Kluyveromyces lactis: one gene and its partners. The protein of the gene in region 7 interacts with the protein of the main gene of each other region in a biochemical or structural test. Links are inferred from orthologs where the notes say so. Each region holds a gene or a part of one and is shown on either strand. Other genes may lie near its edges. The genes, in order: MCM10, PSF1, PSF2, CDC28, SLD5, ORC2 and MCM3.

The links.
Region 1: the proteins of MCM3 (region 7) and MCM10 form a complex in vitro, tested with the Saccharomyces cerevisiae proteins (2 studies listed by BioGRID). The link is inferred for Kluyveromyces lactis from reciprocal best matches to the Saccharomyces cerevisiae genes MCM3 and MCM10.
Region 2: the proteins of MCM3 (region 7) and PSF1 form a complex in vitro, tested with the Saccharomyces cerevisiae proteins (4 studies listed by BioGRID). The link is inferred for Kluyveromyces lactis from reciprocal best matches to the Saccharomyces cerevisiae genes MCM3 and PSF1.
Region 3: the proteins of MCM3 (region 7) and PSF2 form a complex in vitro, tested with the Saccharomyces cerevisiae proteins (4 studies listed by BioGRID). The link is inferred for Kluyveromyces lactis from reciprocal best matches to the Saccharomyces cerevisiae genes MCM3 and PSF2.
Region 4: of the proteins of MCM3 (region 7) and CDC28, one has a biochemical effect on the other in vitro, tested with the Saccharomyces cerevisiae proteins (3 studies listed by BioGRID). The link is inferred for Kluyveromyces lactis from reciprocal best matches to the Saccharomyces cerevisiae genes MCM3 and CDC28.
Region 5: the proteins of MCM3 (region 7) and SLD5 form a complex in vitro, tested with the Saccharomyces cerevisiae proteins (3 studies listed by BioGRID). The link is inferred for Kluyveromyces lactis from reciprocal best matches to the Saccharomyces cerevisiae genes MCM3 and SLD5.
Region 6: the proteins of MCM3 (region 7) and ORC2 form a complex in vitro, tested with the Saccharomyces cerevisiae proteins (2 studies listed by BioGRID). The link is inferred for Kluyveromyces lactis from reciprocal best matches to the Saccharomyces cerevisiae genes MCM3 and ORC2.

Annotation. Positions count from the first base shown.
Region 1 is NC_006037.1:50,765-54,462, forward strand, and holds MCM10 (Mcm10p), read right to left. Parts: upstream 2,318-3,698; coding exon 2,230-2,317; intron 2,147-2,229; coding exon 501-2,146; downstream 1-500. Other genes in the region: KLLA0_A00550g (uncharacterized protein), read left to right, coding at 1-477; MLP2 (Mlp2p), read right to left, coding at 2,540-3,698. UniProt on the Saccharomyces cerevisiae protein: Required for DNA synthesis. Required for entry into or completion of S phase. Involved in DNA replication and seems to participate in the activation of the pre-replication complex (pre-RC) and in transcription elongation.
Region 2 is NC_006038.1:616,059-618,465, reverse strand, and holds PSF1 (DNA replication protein PSF1), read right to left. Parts: upstream 1,137-2,407; coding exon 501-1,136; downstream 1-500. Other genes in the region: protein-arginine omega-N methyltransferase HMT1, read right to left, coding at 1-98; RAD61 (Rad61p), read left to right, coding at 1,395-2,407. UniProt on the Saccharomyces cerevisiae protein: Required for DNA replication. Functions as part of the GINS complex which plays an essential role in the initiation of DNA replication by binding to DNA replication origins and facilitating the assembly of the DNA replication machinery.
Region 3 is NC_006040.1:558,098-560,365, reverse strand, and holds PSF2 (DNA replication protein PSF2), read left to right. Parts: upstream 1-1,162; coding exon 1,163-1,768; downstream 1,769-2,268. Other genes in the region: ARG2 (acetyl-CoA:L-glutamate N-acetyltransferase), read right to left, coding at 1-840. UniProt on the Saccharomyces cerevisiae protein: Functions as part of the GINS complex which plays an essential role in the initiation of DNA replication by binding to DNA replication origins and facilitating the assembly of the DNA replication machinery.
Region 4 is NC_006038.1:854,827-857,449, forward strand, and holds CDC28 (cyclin-dependent serine/threonine-protein kinase CDC28), read right to left. Parts: upstream 1,389-2,623; coding exon 501-1,388; downstream 1-500. Other genes in the region: IFA38 (ketoreductase), read right to left, coding at 1,973-2,623. UniProt on the Saccharomyces cerevisiae protein: Cyclin-dependent kinase that acts as a master regulator of the mitotic and meiotic cell cycles. Required to drive the G1-S transition. More than 200 substrates have been identified. Substrate specificity is in part regulated by the bound cyclin protein.
Region 5 is NC_006042.1:1,023,715-1,026,356, reverse strand, and holds SLD5 (DNA replication protein SLD5), read right to left. Parts: upstream 1,380-2,642; coding exon 501-1,379; downstream 1-500. Other genes in the region: serine/threonine/tyrosine protein kinase RAD53, read left to right, coding at 1-228; PAC11 (dynein intermediate chain), read left to right, coding at 1,691-2,642. UniProt on the Saccharomyces cerevisiae protein: Required for DNA replication. Functions as part of the GINS complex which plays an essential role in the initiation of DNA replication by binding to DNA replication origins and facilitating the assembly of the DNA replication machinery.
Region 6 is NC_006042.1:1,707,604-1,711,324, reverse strand, and holds ORC2 (origin recognition complex subunit 2), read right to left. Parts: upstream 2,292-3,721; coding exon 501-2,291; downstream 1-500. Other genes in the region: serine/threonine protein kinase AKL1, read right to left, coding at 1-194; DNA-directed RNA polymerase III core subunit RPC11, read left to right, coding at 2,668-3,006; HEM13 (coproporphyrinogen oxidase), read right to left, coding at 3,454-3,721. UniProt on the Saccharomyces cerevisiae protein: Component of the origin recognition complex (ORC) that binds origins of replication. It has a role in both chromosomal replication and mating type transcriptional silencing. Binds to the ARS consensus sequence (ACS) of origins of replication.
Region 7 is NC_006041.1:1,980,004-1,984,074, forward strand, and holds MCM3 (MCM DNA helicase complex subunit MCM3), read left to right. Parts: upstream 1-1,271; coding exon 1,272-4,067; downstream 4,068-4,071. UniProt on the Saccharomyces cerevisiae protein: Acts as a component of the MCM2-7 complex (MCM complex) which is the putative replicative helicase essential for 'once per cell cycle' DNA replication initiation and elongation in eukaryotic cells.

The DNA of each region.
Region 1 (3,698 bases), on a different chromosome or scaffold from region 7:
GGCATTGAAAGGTTTAGAGTTGCTAGCCAGCGAATTTTAAGAGAATACAAGCTCGAATCTCGCGTCTCTATTCCCGATATTCTGGAAGGATCTTTTAGTTATTTTGCGTTAATAAATACCACAAATCTGGAGCCAACTTATATGCCATCTCCCGATTCTGATCCATTGGAATCACAACTACATGTATTGGCATACCAGTCTTCTCTGGATAGAGTAGAATTCCAGAAAAGGGTATTTATGGGTTATTCAAATACGAAGCATTCAAACATCTTACAGAATGGAACGTTTTACAGACCACTGCCATTTTGTTTTAACGTCGAAGTACTAGACGATCCGTCACAAAAGAGCAACTTTGAAGTTTGCTGTGATGGGCAACTTCTTAACTTACTAGAGTTAGAGGGAAAGAATACTCCACCATCCACGATAAGAATTGAGACTTGTACGGAGCCATCATTAAAAGTACTACATTCTTTATAATATATTAAACCTTACATTATTGTCTATATAATTTCCAAATCATCACTTGAGCCTTCATCTTTATCGAGCCGCTCTTGGCTGCCTTTCATTATTTCATTGAAGATAGCGTTTCTCTTTTCAATTTTCTCTTTCAATTGTTTCTTCGAAGGTTTCAGGCTAACATTATCTTTCTTTATATTGCAAATATCCGTTATCGCCAGCTGTTTATCATTCTTTGGCGCCTTATTCTCTGTAGAATATTCAAGCATCTCTAAAGACGCTTTCCCTTTTGTTGGGTCATAACCAATTTGGTTCGCTAAACCATGTTGGAACATGCTCAACGTCGCAGTCTTTTTTGCTTCTTGATTGACTCGGTCTTCCTTCTTTGACAACAATTTGTCGGATAGACCCTTTAACTTTTTCTCCAAGTTTCGATTGTTTCTGAGTTCTTGAATTTTGCGTCTTTTGTTATCAAGGTTGGCCAGTATGTCAGGATTTTCGTAGTCGTCATCGAAAAACGCGGTAGAGGCATTTGCAGAACTGAAGAGGAATCTGTTGGTCTCTGCAGCTGCCGGTTCTCGTACAAACGGTTTATCAGGATTTTGTTGATATCTTATGGATGTTTTACCATTATTGTGTTGTGATTTTACAATAGTCTGTTGATATCCTTTGACAACTGGCGCTCTCATTGCCACAGAGCTACTAATTTCAACTCTTCTAGAACTGTTTTGCCTCATTTTTGCCTCTTTATGATATGCACAGTAGTTATCATGCAATTTGTTTATTGGCGCACCACATAGCTTGCCTTTGTTCTTCATGTAAAATTGGCACAATCCGAATTCCTTACTGTGACCTAGTTCCAGTATATTATTGGTGTCTTTACTAACTTTTAACGAAAATGTAGCGTAACTAGGGCTTGCTCCCGCTTCCAGTTTCTTGGAAGGCATTATTTCAGGGTTAAGTATAGCAATCAAATCACCTAATCTTAGTTTGTAATACTTTTCAACTATACTTTTCCCAAAGAAAATAACATTCAGTTCAAATTGGAAATCACTTATGGTTAGGCTGAAGAATTTCACCGGTTTCACAGAATTTGTCATTCTTGGTTCAGTTTTCTTTGAGATGATACCCAATACCAACCAATTGGGATAATCAGGTTCAGAGAACTTAGGGGCTCTCACCTTACTGAAGAGCTTTGGAAGTCGAAGCACTTTTATGTTTTTAGTATGTTTCCTAAGTACGGCCAACGGTACATACCTTCTGTCTATAACCAGACCACTCAAATCATCTTTTTCATCAACAGTAATTGGTTCATATTCATCGAACATGTCGCCATTGAATGTGTAAACTCGATGTGCCAATAATTCTTTCTTCCTTTTAATCGCTTCATGTTCATTTGTATTGATGGAGCGAAGTTTTTCAGTAAAGTAAGAAGTGGTACCCAACTTTTTGACCTTTTCCCTTACATAATCCTCATTAACATTAAATGTAGCTTCCTCTATATCTGCTACTGGCGCAATATGTTTGATATCCTCTATTCCTTTTGTAGCATTATCTGATTTCTTAGGAGACTCTGGAACGTCGATAGAATCGAAATTAGGGTCTTTGAGGTTTCTCTTCTTCTCTAGTTCCAACAGCCGGTTAGTTAAATCTCGTTTCTCAGTGTCAATTTCAACAATTCTTCGTTTCACTTTGATTTAATGATTGGTTATAATATGTTAGTAGGATATTCTAATGTCATTGATCTCGGTAACCATTATTATTAGAACATACCTCTTTCGATTTCAGATTCATCATCAGATAATTCCTCGTACGGGTCGAACGCCGTAATTTCTCTCGGGTCAGTTAGATCATATGACATGATGCATCTTCACTGTTACCTATACTCGATAGCTTCTGTAACTATTCTCGTTCATTCTTTACTTGTGGGATGTCATTATTTTGTTTTCTCGTTTGAATATCTGTGGAAAGTAATACTAGTATTTTTTACATGTTGAAAACGAATGGTCAAATAATGATACATAATAGAAAAAAATTAAATAGAACTTCGGTAATATTAACAGCCATAAAATCGTCTGGAGAATCAGGCTTCCTGACCATCCTCAGTATCACTTTCAGGCTCTTTGTGACGTTTCTCAGGCTGTTCTGTTGCGGTGTCGTCTATGGGTCTCTTATTAGGAGAAATTTCTGACGTTGAGAAGGGACTAGTGAATGTTGAATGAGAGCCAAATACAGGGGCCTGGAATGCTGCACTCATATTAGAAGTGTCATTCTCTACAGGTTTAATTGTGGACTTTTGTTGTTCTAAATTCCTGATCTTGCTTTCCAAAAATTTCAATTTCAAGGAAACTTGCTGTTTCCCTTCTTCGAAAGATTTTTGTTTTATTTCTGCCAAATCTGCTTCAAATTGCTTACGCATGGAATCCTTAAGTGCATTCAATTCTGCACGATGCTTTTCTAGAGTAATGGCATCATTTCCGATCTCTCCTGCCAATTTTTGGGCCTTTTCGTTTACCTTTTCTTCAAAGGACTCTTCTAAAACAGCTTTTCTTGCCTCAACTATTTTATCAATCTTTTGTTGAGTAGGTAACCTGATCCGTTTCTTGAGGGCTTCTTCTGCTAATTTAATTTTTTCCAGAGTCTGCTTCTCATATTCTTTTTCCCATTCATTCTTCAAAGCATCGATGTCTATATCCAAGGTAGGCTGCGAAGGAGACTGGACAGTAGTCTTTTCGCACTCTTCACGAATTCTCTTTTCTCTTTCTTCAAACTGTTTCCGGAGCTCTTCCTCTCTGGAATTCCAAGCAGATTCTTTTTCTGCCTCAAACTTGCTCCTCAATTCTTTTTCTTTATCTTTTATTAATTGTTCTTTTTCAGCTTCAAATTCTGTTTTCAAATTATCCACTATTGACTTCGTGTCTTCGTTGATAACTGGCGTATGATGTTCAGCTACTATTTTTTGAGCGTTGGAGGCTTCGGCTTCAAGCTCCTGTATTTTACTATTTAACATTTCCACAGTCTCAGTCAACGATTTTATTTTTTCATCTGAATCTGCATTATTCTGTTCGGTCTTGGAAGCATTTTCCATTTGAACCTGAATAGAATGTAGATCTTCCTGCAATTTAGATAATTGAGAGTTAAAAGTCTGTTCCTTTGTTTCTGCTTCTTGCGTTACCACTTGTAATCTTTCTTCTAACTCTTTGCAAGCGGTCTTACATTTTCCTAAATCGGCCTCCACTTGA
Region 2 (2,407 bases), on a different chromosome or scaffold from region 7:
TGAATACCGAAATGGTCATAAGAGGTGAAATAGTGTTGTTCATACTCGTTCAATTCTTTTTTCTGCGTAGCAGAATCAGTGACATCAGTCTTGGACATCCTTTATTTTATTAGCTTTACAATTAGGAAAGATATGCTCAACAATTAGACTAAAGATGAAACACAAGTCTTGGTATATGTATGGTGACAAATATTATATCCCAATAAGCTGTACACTATACTCAATGCAATCAAACCAATAACCGTTCTAACAAGTTGGTTCCAGATCAAGTACTGTTCTGTTACTTATGCCTCGTTGCCTTAAATACAAAACTGAAAAATTTTTGAAGGCGATGAGCTGCAAGAAAAAGAAATCCAAAAAGAAATCGTGCATTCCCCATAGTGAAAGTGAGGTAAAGCTAGTTAGTTGCATTTGGAACGGTTGCATCAGCAATATCACCAGCAATGATATCTACAGAATTGCAATGAAAGGTGCAGAATTCGGCGAAAAAAGCTGCCTTGCTATATCTTCTGCAGATATCCTTGTTGTATAAGTCTTTCGACGTCGGATTGTCTGACGAAAAATTGGGAATCTTTAATCAGGTTGAATACACCGTACTCTGTTTCTATTTGTCCTGCATCTTTCAATACTCGTACGTCGATGAACACATCGCTCGGCGGTTGTAACATCCCAGTCAAATCGATTTCTGAGAGTTCTCCCGATTTCAATTCGGTAAGTAGTTGTGCATACTCTTTGAGATACTCTTGTTCTGCATGTGATAAAACAGAGGAATCAAACGATGATAGATTCGGGTGGTTTGATATGGCAGAAGAAAATTCCATCCCGTTGTTATCCCAAACCATTGAGTCTAGCATCTCACTTCTCATCTTTTGGTATGCTAATAGACATCTTTTGTTTCTTTCCATCGAAAGCATAGCAACGACGTACTGGCATTGAGCGACTTTGTTATCCTGATCAGTAAGCTGCTGTTCTCGTAGGTAATCCACGTTCTTCTTGAGGGATCCAACCTCTTTCAGGATGCCACGGACTAGCTCGTCTTGATATACTGGTAATTGCTGTTTGTTGAATCCAGCTTGAGATAACTGTTGCGTTCTCTTTGCTTCTAGTATCAACTTGTTAGCGAGATCTCCGTACATTTTCGGTACTATGGCAATGATAATCAAAACCAATGACTTGAATCCAGTTCCAGGTCTTTTAGCACGTTCTTTTCCCTCTGTGTTATCTCTGTAAAAGTTGTTCATAGCTTTTCTCTTCTCTAGATTGAAATCGCTTTGAGGAAAACACGTAAAATTTAAGGACTTTAACGTGAAACGATACTGTTTAGACGCGAACAAATTACAACAAAGAAAACAAGGGGAAGCAAACCAACAAAGCCCATTGGGAGGTTCTGATAAATGAAGACGAGAGTTTATGGTCACTATGGGAAATTTCAAGCCTTGGCGAGGCGACATTTGAATAAAAAAGACAATGAGTTAAGCGATGAGGACAATTTCACTTCAACTGACGAGGAAGAAACAAGTTTATCAACAGATTTAGATAGAACTTATGAGACTTCTCCCATGGCTCCTGTCAGAGAAGAGTATGTGTCTTCCTCTCATAAATACGAGTCATTTGAAAACCGTGATTCAAAGACAATTGAAGCTGATCCATTCGATATTTTGGATGGTATGGGGTCGACATCTATGAAGAAGAAACGTAAAGTGACAAGGCTTCATAAACGAATAACAGTCGACAATGACGATATGAAAGATGTTGAAGAAGCTGTTGATAATGATTCTGAGATTCATGAGTTTCAAAGTACAATTGACAGTATCTCCTCGATGATTTCGTCATTGAAAGACTCCGACGATGTAATATCGACTTATAGCCAAATTCAATGTCTTAAAGTGGTCTCCACTTCAGCAGTGAGCCAGGTGAGATACGGAAGAACACGTACATTATTGAAAAAAGAGTTTCAAAGTGATGAAGAGCTACAAGAAGAAGCATCAAATGTCGATGAGGATGATGAAAATAATGAAGGTATTTTGGATGCTCAACATCACAATACTTCTTTTAATGATTCCAATTCCGTCATTCACGTTAATCAATTAAAAACACTCGGAGAAGGGCTTAAGTTCGAAGATGATCTGGATTTCTTACCATTCACTACTAGTGATGAAAAGTTATTTGTCGTAAAACTGATTAGCTGTTGTTTACTATTACTCAACAATACAGAGTTGACAAGTTATACTCAAAAGTATAAAAGCAATGAAGTATGGAACTGGTTTTTGCAGCAAATTAACCCTGAGAACAATGTCATGAGTTATTTACAACTTTGGATTGCTAATTTAGTACCACTGCCGCGAAGTGCCCCTCAATGGCAACAGTTATCACCTCTCCTAATGACTTGTTCCTCTCTTACAGAAAA
Region 3 (2,268 bases), on a different chromosome or scaffold from region 7:
TAGCCCAGTAGACGAATGTGGTAGAACTGATAGCGTTTTATTCATGATTTCAAGGTCTTCCATATGACATTTCAGTTGATCGCTGTTACTAAGAATCTTATCCTGATTCAAAAATAATTGTAGAGATTCTACCAAATTCTTCTCAGTATTATCCACTTGAATAGATTCTAGTTTCTCCAATTGATTTTGATAACTGTTTCTCAATTCTCGATATTCTTGTGACAAATTTACAAAGACATGGCTGTTTGTATGTCTTTCCACAGACGGCAATCCACCATACTTGCTGATAAGGAACACCTTGTCGATATTTATGGGCAAGTTACTCACTAGAGATGATAAGAATCGAGATGGATCGCCAGCCAATTTCTTAAAAGCTTCCTTCTCATGGTACTGATATGGCTCAATAATCGGAATAATATGCGGGTTCAAAATCGGAAGTTTTACGTCAATTGAGCCACGTTCACCGATGGTAATGGGATCTAATACGATTATTGACTTCAGACTCTGATCATGCAAATGATTGTCCAAACGCTGACTTTGGTATGATATGTCTTGGCATAGCGGGTCTACTATTAAAATTGGTCTTAGTCCGAGTGTTTGAATTCTTGACACAGTCTTGCTAAACCCACTAAGTACGTTATCTGAATATTCGGACAAATGTCTCAAAAATACAAGACAGTAGTGATGATTATTCTCATCGGTATATTTGTTCAAATAGTCTTTCGCTTCCCTTTTAGTCACTGTAGAATTCAAAACGCTCATAACCAAACTCCTGCCATGAGCATTAGGTTGATGGTATCTGACCTCTGTGGTCAAACACCTAATCCATGTTTTGATCATAGCACTAGCCCACAAAATGTGCCTTTGGACGTTATATGATGAGATCAAACCATTTATCTGCAAATATGGAAAGTGTATAAAACCATCATTTATTCTAGTTTTATCAATGAGTCAAGTCATCAGAGAAAACTGCCAGTTTAAAGCTTTAGTTAGTCTTTCCTGTTTTTGTTTTTCCTGTGCTGGATTTCAATGTCAAGATTGAACATGGAAAAATAATTGAAGCACAGATATCGATTGGTCATAGTCGCGCATTGAAAGCACTATGTAAGGAAGTAGTGAGCTTGAGGACACTATAGATTAGCAACTCCAACCTGAAATAGAGATGGCACTACCGAGAGATCTATCAATAGGATTTTCTCCCCAAGAGATACAGTTTTTAATTGAAAATGAACCGACACGAATTATGCCCAGAATCACTACGAGGAAGACCAAAAAACAGCTCGCGAAGGATCCTGGCGCCCAATGGTCACTGATCACATGCGATGATTCTACGGTAAATAACATGGTTGCAATGAATAGTTGCGAAGTCACGTTATGGCTGGCTTTACTGTTAAAACAACAGGGAAAGTGTAACGTCGTGGTACCCAGTTGGCTGACGTTACAACAGCTGGAGAAGTATTTAGATTTTGAATTGAAAAACCCATCACGATTCTCCAATCTACCCTGGAATTGGCTAGTGGTATCGTCACTGCTGTTTGCCAGATGCAGCGATGATTTTCAGGATCCAGTTCATCTACTGAGATCTAAGGTCCAAGATCTGCGAGAAGTTCGTTTGGGAAAAGTCAACAAGGGTTTGCAGTACCTGAACGAATCGCATTTACAGCTAGAGAACTTGTCCTTGATGGAAATCAATGAGATGAGACCCTATGCGTGTGGTATCATGGACAAACTGAGGACAATTCATGACTCCAGTAATGACACCACGTGATCAATAATATAATAACCTTTTCCCATTGAATCCAAAATTCCATTCACGAGGTTTCCACCAGTCCCTCCCCTTAATCCAACCTACATGGTTATATGATAACACAGTTGACCATAATCACTAGAAAAGGTCGGGTTACCATGTAAGTACAGGCCTATCAAATAACACATATATTACATACCCTACATGTACCCGCTTCACAGTTTGTAGTAATTCGAAACAACTGATCCATCCCGAACATTCACGCACTGCTTAGTTCTTATTTACGTTTGTGTCGCAAACATGCCTCGCGGGCATGCCTTGCGTGTGCACCCCACGTTCTTGCTTCATCATATTTGTTGTTCTTCAGGCTATTTCGGTTCCTTGCATTGAACTACGGGTATAACTTACAGAAAACGACACAAGGGGGGAACACAAACACGGAAACGAATCACGTTTCTTCAATATTACGTTGGGAAAAGAATTTACCGTAGATAGAAAACAATAACAGTAGAAATTGAGCA
Region 4 (2,623 bases), on a different chromosome or scaffold from region 7:
GGGGGATGTGAATAGAGAGAGAGAAGGTATGGGTTGAGTTGAGAGACATTACGTCAATTGAGCTGTCTCTTACCAGGCCTCGTCTTTAATTTCTTCAGGGATTCGGTCGGAATAATGGACAGACATATTAGCGATAGAGAGGGGATGTCGAGGATAGGTGACTAGGTAGATTTGCGTTCAGCCAAACTAGCAATGGCGTAACGTTAACGAAGAGCCCCAGGCCTAGGGGAGGGGGGCGGGTTTCAATTTGCTTCGGTTTTTCTTGCTCTTAGTTCTTTCTTTTTGGGCGCATTGCTGTGGCACAGGCAAGGAAATCAAGGCCCGTTTTTTTTTTGTTTTTGTGGTATGTTTGCAGCATCTCTCGAAGGGCTGTTGGATGGGACAAAAAGAAATGGAATGTGGAGTTCCGGGTAATATAAGTCACGTGAATACACGTGACTGGTATTGTTTTTATTATATATCATATACATGAATATACGCGCCTCCTGTCACCAACACTCTCACTCCTCCTTGAAGTACGGGTGTTGTACTGCTCTTTTGGCGCTAATGCGGTGGATTGGATCGTAGGTGATCAATTTGTCCAAGAGATCGATACCGTTTGCATCTAGCGATGGAATTACCTCGGATAAATTACGACGGTTCCATTTAGGGAATGTAGTCTTGAAATCCGGTAGATAAATAATATCCGGCCATGTTCTCTCGTTTGGTGTGCCTAACACTCGGAATATCTTGAAGATCTGATCAATTTCACTGTCTCCGCTGAATAACGGTTTCCTGTTGCACATCTCGGCAAATATACAGCCAATGGACCATACATCGACCCCTGTACTGTACTGTTTCCCACCTAATAACACTTCTGGTGCCCTATACCATAAAGTGACGATCTCATGGGTGTACGCTCTCAAGGGGACACCGAATGCACGTGCAAGGCCGAAATCTCCCAACTTCAAGTTCCCATCTCTGTTGATCAATAGATTCTGCGGCTTCAAATCACGATGTATGATCCTATGAGCATGGCAATAAGCAATTCCCTTGCACAATTGCATCATAAACTTCTTTATAATGTTGCCTCCCAATGGCTGGTCCTTGGGGATCGATTCCATGTATCTTTTCAAATCAAGATCCAAAAATTCGAACACTAGATATAACTTGTGCGCGTCCGAGTGCACGATGTCATATAATCTGACAATGTTGTCATCCTTCAGTTCCTTCAATAATGAAATCTCACGTATCGCAGTACTGGGAACACCTTCGTCTTCAGATTCTAATCTGATCTTTTTCATTGCTACCACTCGATTCTGGTGACGCAAATCAACCGCTTTGTAAACAACACCATAAGTACCTTCTCCGACTTTCTCAAGTCTCTTGTAGTTTGTTAATTCGGACATCCTGGTATAGGGTGGATTTCTTGTATGATGCGACCTTGCTGTTCTGTTTCTTTACTACTTTCAAGTTTTAGGTAGGTACAGATTGTTCTCTTTTGCAGCAGTATATTCAGATCAAGTAAAATTTGCTGTGCTCGCGTATAAATATGCGTCAAATCAAATAATCAACTATCACTCAGTGCTTATGGCTCTAATATTACCCTGGTATGTGCCTTCTTTCTAACAGATTAACGTTGCCTTAATACTATATTAATATCTTCGAAATTGTGTTTGTATTTTCTTCGTTTTAAGGTCAGAAGGTCAATAATGAGCTTTACGTGTAATTGAAAAGAAAGAAAGGTTTGGAATTGTAAGATGAACGCAGGGATTTTGTAACGTATAGGGCATTGCTGAACGGTTTTTTCAGTATACTTTCATGTTACAGAATATTTAACACAGAAACTTACAAAATTTATACACTTCTACAGGTTCCAATAATTATGGTTTCTTTGTCAGGATATCGCACAATAATCAAACGTTACTACAACAAATCTATTTAAACCTGCTCCTTATATCAAAACAAACTAATATTTTGGAGACAACTCTTTTTATTGCTTCTTGGCTTGTCTTTCAGCCTTTTTCAAAGCTCTCTTTCTGATACTCAAGTGGAAGGAATAATTAATTGAATTAGCAATCTTAGAGTACACACCGACGGTGTTCTCGATAATGAAATGGTATAATGCATGAGACCAATACGGCGTGGAGGTTGCAAAACGCTCTTGGGCACCACAGCGTTTGCCAATGGAGTTCAATGTGGATCTCACGAAAGCCTTTGGAGAAGGGATCAATGCACTTGATCTTCTAATCTTAGACATTGCACTGGTAACTAAGTAAGATAACACTAACTCAACATCGATAGAATCGCTAGATAATTCACCAGCTAGGGCGTTAGACCAACTTTGTAAAAATGCCTTGGAACCACTGTATGTAGCTAAGAATGGGGTAGGTAGCAGACCACCAAAGGAACCCATTGTCAAGATTAGACCACGACATTTCAACGTCTTAACGCTTGCTTTTAATTGTGGTAACAAAGTTTGTGTGATCATTAATGTCGCAGTATTGTTGATAGTAATTATATCTCTCAATTCAGATTCTTCGGTTTGATCAAATGGTACTGGAATCGAATGAGACTTACCAACATTATTGATCAAAACAGTTACAGGTAAACCCGACGCAACTTCTCTAATTAAAGTATAGTT
Region 5 (2,642 bases), on a different chromosome or scaffold from region 7:
AAGTCTAGATCATCACAACATGCCAAATCTAATATAAACCAGTCCTCTTCCAGTAACATAGATGCCAACTCGCAAAATATCGAGGAATTAGATTCTGTCGTTGAGATGAACTCGACTACAGGATTGAAAAGAATACATTCAGTGTCGTTATCTCAATCTCAACCGCAGACAACCAAAAGGGCTAAGCTTGCCCAAGCCCAGAAACCAGATATTGAAGGATTTCTCTGAGCTGATCATATGCTTGCCGGATGGGTTTTGCATACAGTAAATATGAAAAATAGGTACACTTTGAGTATGCTAGATAGACTTTTCAACGTTAATTGATGTAATACTAATACAAATTGGTTCAAAAGCACTATAGACCAGCAGTCAATAACACTAGGTAGAAAACATGCTGTGTTCGCAATAACATTGTTGAGAAATTATTGCTGGCAAACATTCGTTACAAACCTATATTTTTCGAAGAGTCATAGGTTCAGTAATACTGTTCAGAATTTTCATTATATTAAAACTACTCGTCCCTCAGTCATGAGATCTCGTATTACACTATAACGTATTACGTATACTGCCCCGATTAATAAGTAAATTTCTTCATTTAAATCTTCAATAATCACTGAGTAACAGTGTTTTCCATCATCATCGGTCGTTAATTTCGAATCAATACCACTTTCGTCAACTACCCCACCACAAACTAGTATAAATACAGTTTTATTCCAATCGGGTTCATCAATCATACTGATGGAACCCTCAGTATCGTTAACGGCTTGCAGTTCTTCTGGTAAGTGCTTAAGTACTGCGTTGTTAAACAGTTTTAGTAATATGTCAGAATGCTTCATATGGTACTTCACCTCTTCTTTGGACATCAATAAATCTAGTCTGCTGAGGCCCGCATTATTGGGTAGTTCGGATTGTTGTCTTAGGTAAATGCTGTATTTGTCAATTTTGCTTAACCGGCATCTGATGAAAGATCGAACTAGGAACTTCAATCTCTCAAGTTCTGCTTCCATGCATAAAAGTGGTAGCTTTGAATCGACAGTTAACTCTTGATTATCTTCTAAGTATCCCATTGATAGTGTTTCTATTAGTTCAATTCTTTCTTGAATCCTTATTAATGTCCTAGTCATGAGATGATGTGGATATGGAAGCAGCTCCGGACTCATACGTTCATTCTTCCAATGTGTAATTAGCTTTTGATAGTCGTCAATTTTGTTAAACTGTGTGGGAGCCACAGGGTCAACCGCCTTATCTGCTGGTCTTATCTGAGAGACATCATTGCCTTGAGTTCGATCGCTTTGGTCTGGGTATGAAGAAGCATTTTGTTCAACAGCTGTAGTGTCCCTATCCAGCTCAGCTAGAATGTCGTCAATATCAATGCTCATTGTACTAAAGAAATATGATCCTACCACCAGGACTCAAAGCGGAGGAAGTGTTCGGATAGTACACCGGGGTGGCTTTTATAATTGCTGTAAAGGTGTATTCAGACAAGAAGGACTTACTTGCAATGTGTTATCCTCCAACCTATTGTGAAATTCATCCAACTTACTGTAACATCGTATTTTTGATAATACTCAAATCTTATTTATCATCTTTTGTTTACGCTTAACAAATCCATACATGAAGCAAGATAAAACGCGTCAGTGAAGAAGCGCTCATCAGCAACACCAACCTCAGGGGGAATATACCCAGAAATATGGACAAGAATGAGCGCTTACAGTTGATGAAGCAGAAAATAGAGGCTCTTCAGCTGCAAAGGAAAAAAATTGATTCGAAACATGAAGAGATAGCAGATTGTACCCTTCCGTTCATTTCCCATATCACCAATTCCATAAATAACAACGAATCTGAAGTCAAGAAAGAAGTAAAAACTGTTGAGATCTCAGTGCAAACAGATGATGTAAATGAGTTTGAATTGAGCGCTGTTAAGGAGGCTGTGATAACATATGATATCGGAATACAGACAGATGAATATGACGGGAAACATGAAATTATGGAAGATGGACATCTACCTTCCCAAGATCTTATAGAACAGCAAGCATCGACTTCAGATATTACAGAGACCAAGGAGGATAAAGAAGTTGTTGAAAAGGATGTGTTTGATTTCGGAAATGTCGTTTCAGCGGAAGACTACGCAACGTTGAAGAAAGAAACATTTTCACTACAGGAGACTATAGAAGCGGCTGCGCTCAAGTCATCTTCTCATCAAATCGCTGGTGATGGGAAAATAAGCATGTATTTATCAATTTCACCAAAAGTTGCCATTGATTCAACTTCTGAAGCAAGGGTCATTTCCAGTGACGTCTTAGATAATTTACTGGTTACTGTGATTCATCTTGTAACCAAATACGTGAAAAGCTCTTTAGTTCAAATCACACACGTCTCTTCTGGTGAGGTACTTGATACAGTTTTATTCCAAGGTCAGAATGTTGTACGGAGCAAGTTTATTGATAATCCTAATTCTAAGATTACCTCCGTCGTTCTTTCTTGCTATACAGGAAAACTCATCTTATATGAACTGCGAACAGTCAAAATAAATAATAGCTTTCAGGTGGAAAGAAATATTGTTTCCACTAATTATCATCACTATCCGGTACTTTCAATTATAATTCCAAAATTCAATGACCATAGCATCCTGGCGGCCAGCA
Region 6 (3,721 bases), on a different chromosome or scaffold from region 7:
GTCAATTCCAAGAATTTTACCTTGTATATATTTGCGAACCCACCCTCAGCTAAATGCTCCAAAATTTCACACCTATGAGTGCCAACAACAACCTGAGTGTTGGGACTCAACAGATGCGAATTCGGAATCATAGCAGAGGTCGCCGCAGTATGTGCCACCGAATTCGGTCTGGATATAGTGTCTGATTTGCTCATCACAATATTTAGCGGACTGCTGAATTAAATACCACTACCAACAGTGCTTCCAACACTTGCTGTTAGTGTATACGATACTCTTCTTTATCGAATTCTCCCTTTTCTTCTTAACCATATAACCTTAAGTTCATTAAAATAGTAATCTTTATCGAAAACTTATTTTTCAGTGATTTTCGGAAGCAGAACTGATTCAGCATAGGAAATGTAAAAGAAATGAACCCTGGTGGACGGTATGGTAAAGCCAAATGAGATCAGAACGCTAGAGTATAAATATAAATATGTATGGTGAATTTAAATAAGGATTATTTATTGCAGCATGGAATCTATCTCAGTTATCATTTTTTCCATGTCTCCATAGCTATATTTAACATTTATGATCTCTTTACCCATTTTATTTTTCGTATTGACAGCCATCTTATGATCAATGAACTCTGATAGGATGGTTCGAAGACCCATTTCGCTCGAGACTACGAACTGTTCGGTGCATGTTTTAAAAAGTTCAGAGAACTCAATCCCAGGTGTGATTTTGTTTAAGGAACTAGATTTTGCACGAGGCTTTGACTCGTTCTTGGCATTAATCTGTCCCATTAGAAGTTGAAGAAGAATTTTGTACATTCTTTTAGAATTGTCCGTCAGGGATTCTAGTACGTATTTAGCACCGTTCGCATTAAACAAGGTACCTGAATCTTTGGAAAAGTCGATAGCATTATCGGTTTGTACTGTTTCTACGATGTACGGCTCAAAATTTGTGATATCGTGGTAAACAAAGTTGAATGATTGAGCTCTGAAATGATCCCAAAGGAAAGGAGCTTGTATATGGTCGACACTTGCTACGACACAGATTTGTTTGATTTGTGCAAGAATACTCATTCTGGTTTGAAAATGTTCTCTCCGGAATGACGGACCGTCCAAGTTATGTATCAAAAGAATCATCTTCACCGTAGGAGGTCTTTTCTTGAAATATTTTGAAAGCCTGTCCATTTGCAAGTCAATTCGATTATCCCAATAATTTGATTGACCTTGATCATCAATAGTCTCGCCCTCTACTAAGATTTTGAATATATCCAAAAAGATGTTCTTAGAGAGAGTGGTGTACCCGTTCATTACAAAAACCGGTATACATGGATCATCTTTTTGAATATCCGGGTTTTGCAACAAGGCGATCTTCATAGAAAGAAAGTTGAATGCAAATGATTCGAGGAATTTCTTCTTCGATCCGATACCATAGAATAATAACGTAAATCCCTGCAGTAACTCGAAAGTAAACTGCTGAAAGAGTGTTTCATGTATTTTTTGTACTGCCTTTGTCGATGAACGATGGAATATATCATTGGAAAGTTGAGAAAGAATGTTATATTCATCTCTGGAAATACTTGGTGCCGAGGACATCGAGTTCTTGGATCTTTTATCAGTTTTTAGGATCTTGGTCTGATCTATGAAACCTTCGAAACCATCGAAAAAATATATTTGAGATTGTTCATCAGATGTTTGGTCATTATTATCGCTCTTTGGCAACTTAGTCGGTTTGAAATTAGGGTTCAAGTTCAATTTCAGATGCTTATACTGCTGGATATCGTCGTATGCAAGATCATCGTCTATAATTTTATTCCTTTGAACTGTATTTCTGGTAGTCTTTCTTTGGGGTGATGGTTCTGCATTAAATGTAAGTTTTCTCCTAGGCGACTTATTAGGTGAGCTTTCATTAGAATCTATTTTAATTTTTAGATCCTCGTATTCGTCGTCATTGTGTATCAATTCATTAGTATCTGACACATAGTCAATGGCATCATCTTCCTCCAACTTCACCCTCTTGGTTGTTTTCCTTTGCCTTCGCCTGGGAGTTGCAGTATCTGTCGATGAGTGCTTCCTACTCTCTTCATCTTTATATTCAGTCTCAATGCTAACAGACTCTAATGTGAGCGATCGTTTGGGTGACTTAGGTCGTACCGTTTTGGAAGGCGAAAGAAAATCAAAACTTTTAAGTTTCTTCGGTGACTGATATCTTACTTTGGAAGGTGATATGAAAATGTCTTGGTGATTTACAATATCAATGTCTTCTTCTTCTTCCTCATTATCACTGCACTCTTTCTTCGTCATGTTTTCAAGGTTTAACCGCTCCAAGATAATCAAATACTCTAAAGTCTAGAGAATGGAAACTAACTTATAAATGTGGGAGTTGTTCTTCTATCAAACCTCGCCCACAGGTATTAACCCTATACACTATATTTGACATACAAACCTTAAATGTCAACATAAATATCGATTCAAAGTTAAAGGCATGAAGCTCTACTTTTTTTTTTCTGAAAAATTTCTATATGAGATGAGGAAAGAATTAAAACCTACTCTCAATAATTATAGCGATGAGGTTCATTTTAGAGTGTATGCGATAACGTGTTGAAGGAGCTTATGGGCAGGTAACGGTGCGTTAACGTATCGTGTTTGAGGAGTCTGACATTGAGAATTAAGTTGTAGGATGCTTTCGTTTTGCCCATTATGCAATAACATGTTGTTGGTATCAAAAGCTGATTCAGGTCTGTATAAACTAGCATGCGGATCATGCCCATACCAGTTTTTAATTGATGGGATAGAGGTATACGATAGAAAGAACCTCCCTAGGAAAGAAGTTGATGATGTCTTAGGTGGAGAAGGTGCATGGGATAATGTTGACCAGACAGCAGCACAATGTCCGAACCATGACCAATGTGCGGGTGAAAGAGCTTACTTCTTCCAGTTGCAAATCAGATCTGCAGATGAACCTATGACAACTTTCTACAAATGTGTTAACTGTGGTCATAAATGGAGAGAGAACTAGAGATTGTGTATTTTTGAAATTTACTTTGATTTCGATACGCATCAAACAAAATATTATAGATCTTCTTAGCAGTTATTACATCGCTTAGAGCAAAAAACTGACAAGAAGATAAATGTTCGGCTTTAATCGCTGCCATTTGTCTCTCGCCCAGCTAAAAACGCATGCTTAATCTTTCAAATGATGAAAGGTAGATCACGCTTTCATTAGGCTCGCAAAAGGAAGTTGTTAGGGTTTGATGAAACTTCTTCTGAATCAAAGTGTAATATAATGTATAAATCTACAAATAGATTGAACAAGACAAAATAAAAGTATTGTCGACGGCCTGACAGAACCATTTCGTGCAACGCTGTATGGTACTAACGACCGACTTGGTTTTTGAAGCGTAAGAAATTAAGATCATTAGAAACTAAGAATTAAATACATGAGACGTTACATAAATAAAGGCATTCAAACCCATTCAACAGGGTTCTTCAATACTTGGAGTAATTTATCTTCTCTAGAGTCTACTTCAGGATGATGGTCATACAACCACGAAGCAGTCACAGGCAAAGACATCAAAATACTTTCGACACGGGATCCTGGAGTTCTTAAACCGAATTGAGTACCTCTGTCAAGGACTAGGTTGAATTCAACGTATCTGCCACGTCTAATTTGTTGCCATTGTCTTTCTTCTTCAGTGTAAGGCATATCCTTTCTTCTTTTGATGATTTCGAGG
Region 7 (4,071 bases):
ATGAAAAAGACTTGAAATATGATTCCTTTTTTATCCTTGCATGTTTTCACTTGTCCATCTTTCTGTGTTTCCACAAAAGTCGTTTTCCTTCCTGGAACGGTTTTGGTTGCTACTCCCGGTGTTCTTTAGTACGCTATCTAATTCCCCATTTTTTTTCGTCTACTGTTAAGCATCCAATTATATATATTAACTTATATGATATTCTGGGTGTTTTACGTGGGTTTTCAGCAATGGGATGGATTTTGAGTTATAATTGTTGGTTGGAGAACAAGAAACTGTTTTTTCTTTTCTGGAAAACACTCAATCGCTCCTTTCCTTGTCAAGCGTCATTGATGGAAATACTATCAGATACGTTATTCTTTATCACTTTCTCCTTTTAAATCAGCTTTTTTCTCTCTATTCCAGTAATTTTTTTTTTCACTCAATTAAATATCATTATATCCTTAATTCTATTTCTTATATATTTAAATCTTCTTTAACGCTTCCGTTTGTCGTTTTACATTGTCATTGAACCCTGTTAATATGGGGTGTGTGTACTCTTCCGCACTTGCAGACTGCCAGTTACTAAACGGTTGGGAAACCATCCTTGTTTTATTTTTTCAAATTTTGGCTCATCGTCGATAACTTTCAATATCAAAAGCTCAATTGTAGGCAAATATGATTTCGTTAGATTACTTTCTTTAATACCATCTAATGTCCATACTAGGTTCAGAACGTTGGCAAGGGTCTGTAGTTTCTTCTTGCACTGTGAAGCGCGGTATAGTATTTATTATTTACCAATTCACAATATAATGAGTGACATCTTCTGGATCATGTGATATGAACCTAACATCATTTTATCATATAACATGGCAACATGGCCGAGCGGTTAAGGCGAAAGATTAGAAATCTTTTGGGCTCTGCCCGCGCAGGTTCGAGTCCTGCTGTTGTCGTTATTTTTAACCCCTTCTTCCTTTATTTTTTGACGCGTTGCCATTTCTCATTACCCGGAAAATTATTCCTCTTTCTTTTCCAAAAACGGAAAAGATATTGACGAAAACATCAAATCTCATTTCTCTTTGCCGTATTCTGTTGGTAAAATACAGCTGAAACTCGATTCTGACAAAAATAAACTAGAAGAACCATATCAAGAACGTTTCTATCCCAGAACAGCACTGGTGCCAATGAAACATTAATTTTTAGCACCTTCATTTTAATAATATTATTGCATTTATCGCTCCCTGTTTAAAGGACTTTGCTACTGAAAAACACCATAAGTACCGAATTCAATCATGAGTGATGCTATGAATCAAACAAGTGATGCTGTCTTTACAGACAGAATGCGAAGGTTTCAAGAGTTTTTGGATACCCATTCGCATTATACTCGAGAAATAAGATCAATACTCGAGTTTAACAGCAACGTAGTGAAAGAGAAAAAGACGGATGATGATTATTTAAATACTGCAGACAAAGATACGATGGACCATGACACTAATCAATTGCCATTGAGAATAACAGTATCACTTGACGATTTAAGAGAATTTGACAAAACATTTTGGACTGGACTTTTACAAGTACCCTCGTTCTTTTTACCACCAGCGGAGCGTGCTGTTTCGGAGACTGCAATGGCCTTAGATGATAGCCCTCTCGGGTTTCGCGGATTCCAAAATGATCCCAGCAGACAATGGAGACTGTCATTCAAGGGTTCTTTCGGTCCGAATTCTTTATCACCACGTACCTTAAACTCAACACATTTGAATAAATTGATCTCAGTAGAGGGGATTGTAACGAGAACCTCACTTGTGAGGCCAAAACTTCTCAGATCCGTGCATTATGCCCAAACCACAGGCCATCATCATTACCGTGATTATCGTGATGCGACTACAACATTAACCACATCCGTACCAACACCAGCTATTTATCCAGAGGAGGATCAAGAAGGTAATAAGCTGGTCACAGAGTATGGATTTTGTCATTACATGGATCACCAGCGAATCACCGTTCAAGAAATGCCCGAAAAGGCCCCTCCTGGTCAATTACCAAGATCCATTGACGTTATCTTGGATGATGACTTAGTGGATAAGACAAAACCAGGTGATAGAATTAATATTGTTGGTGTATACAAGTCATTAGGTGCAGGTGGTCTAACAGGTGGTTCTAATAACAACGACAAGGGTAACGGTGCTTTATCTGGTTTCAGAACTGTTGTAATTGGTAACACAGTGTACCCTCTACATGCCAGGTCTACAGGTGTGTCCGCCGTTGAAACGCTATCAGATAATGATATTAGAAATATCAATAAGCTATCAATGCATGATAATATTTTCGACACTTTGTCCCAGTCGTTAGCACCATCCATCTATGGCCATGAACACATTAAGAAAGCCATCCTATTAATGCTTATGGGTGGTGTGGAAAAAAATTTACCCAACGGTTCACATCTAAGAGGTGACATAAATATCCTTATGGTTGGTGATCCATCCACCGCTAAATCTCAAATGCTTAGATTTGTGTTGAACACAGCAGCATTAGCTATTGCCACTACGGGTAGAGGTTCCTCTGGTGTCGGTTTGACAGCAGCCGTCACTACTGATAAAGAAACTGGTGAAAGAAGATTAGAAGCAGGTGCGATGGTGTTGGCAGATCGTGGTATCGTTTGTATCGATGAGTTTGACAAGATGTCCGACGTAGATAGAGTTGCTATCCATGAAGTTATGGAACAACAAACAGTAACAATCGCAAAGGCTGGTATACATACAACATTGAATGCTCGTTGTTCAGTTATCGCAGCTGCAAACCCTGTTTTCGGTCAATATGACGTTAACAAAGATCCACATAAAAATATTGCCCTACCGGATTCTCTATTATCTCGTTTCGATTTACTATTTGTGGTTACGGATGATATCAACGACATCAGAGATAGAGCTATCAGTGAACATGTCTTGAGAACACATAGGTACTTACCTCCTGGATATTTGGAAGGTGAACCTGTTAGAGAGCAAATAAATCTATCATTGGCTGTTGGTGAAGATATCGAAAACGAGGAAGAAGATGATGATGAGGACGTAGTTTTCGAAAAATTCAATCCACTTCTACACGCCGGTGCGAAGCTTGCAAAGAACAGAGGTGATAGCAATGGTAGCGAGCTTCCTCAAATTGTTGCGATACCCTTCATCAGAAAATACATTCAGTATGCAAAAGAGAGAATTATTCCTCAATTGACTCAAGAAGCTGTAGACGTTATCATCAAATCATATTCAAATCTAAGAAACGATCAGAACACCAAGAAATCCCCTATCACGGCAAGAACTCTAGAAACTTTAATCAGATTATCCAGTGCTCATGCCAAGGTAAGGCTTTCAAAGAAAGTAGAACTAGAAGATGCAAAGGTAGCAACACAATTACTAAGATTTGCATTACTAGGTGAGGACGGAGCCAACTTCGACGAACAGGAATTTGCCGAAGGCAGAACAACCGAAAAATCTCCAAGAAAGAAGCCAAGAGCTTCTCCAAGGAAGAAGAGAGGGGCCGTTTACAAAGAAGTTGACTCAGAGGATGCAGAAGAGGACCAGGAAATGGCAGAGACTCAACCGGATCCTGCTGACGGTCTGGAATCTACGATGGTACGGTTAGCACCAGAACAAGAGGAAGACCTTCAAAGAAGACTAGAACAAAACTTGAGAGTGAGTCCGAGACGCCAACTATCAGTCGAAAGAAGAGTACTTTCACAAAGCGACCATCAACAACAGGTTCTCCACCACTCCTCGCAATCCTCAACTGGACCCCTTGAAACTGGCTCTCAATTGGAACCGTCTCATATGACCCTTGATTTTATGTCCATCGAAGAGATGGACCAGGGTTCAATCTCAACCGGTAGGTTATCGTCACTCTCAGGTATTGTTGCAAGACTCATGCAATCAGACATTTTCGAGGAAGAATCGTATCCTGTCGCCGCACTTTTCGAAAGAATTAACGAGCAAGTTCCAGAAGAGGAAAAATTCACTGTTGATGAATACGTTGCTGGTCTAAGGATTATGAGCGATAGAAACAATTTAATGGTCGCGGATGGCAAAGTATGGAGAGTATAATCTT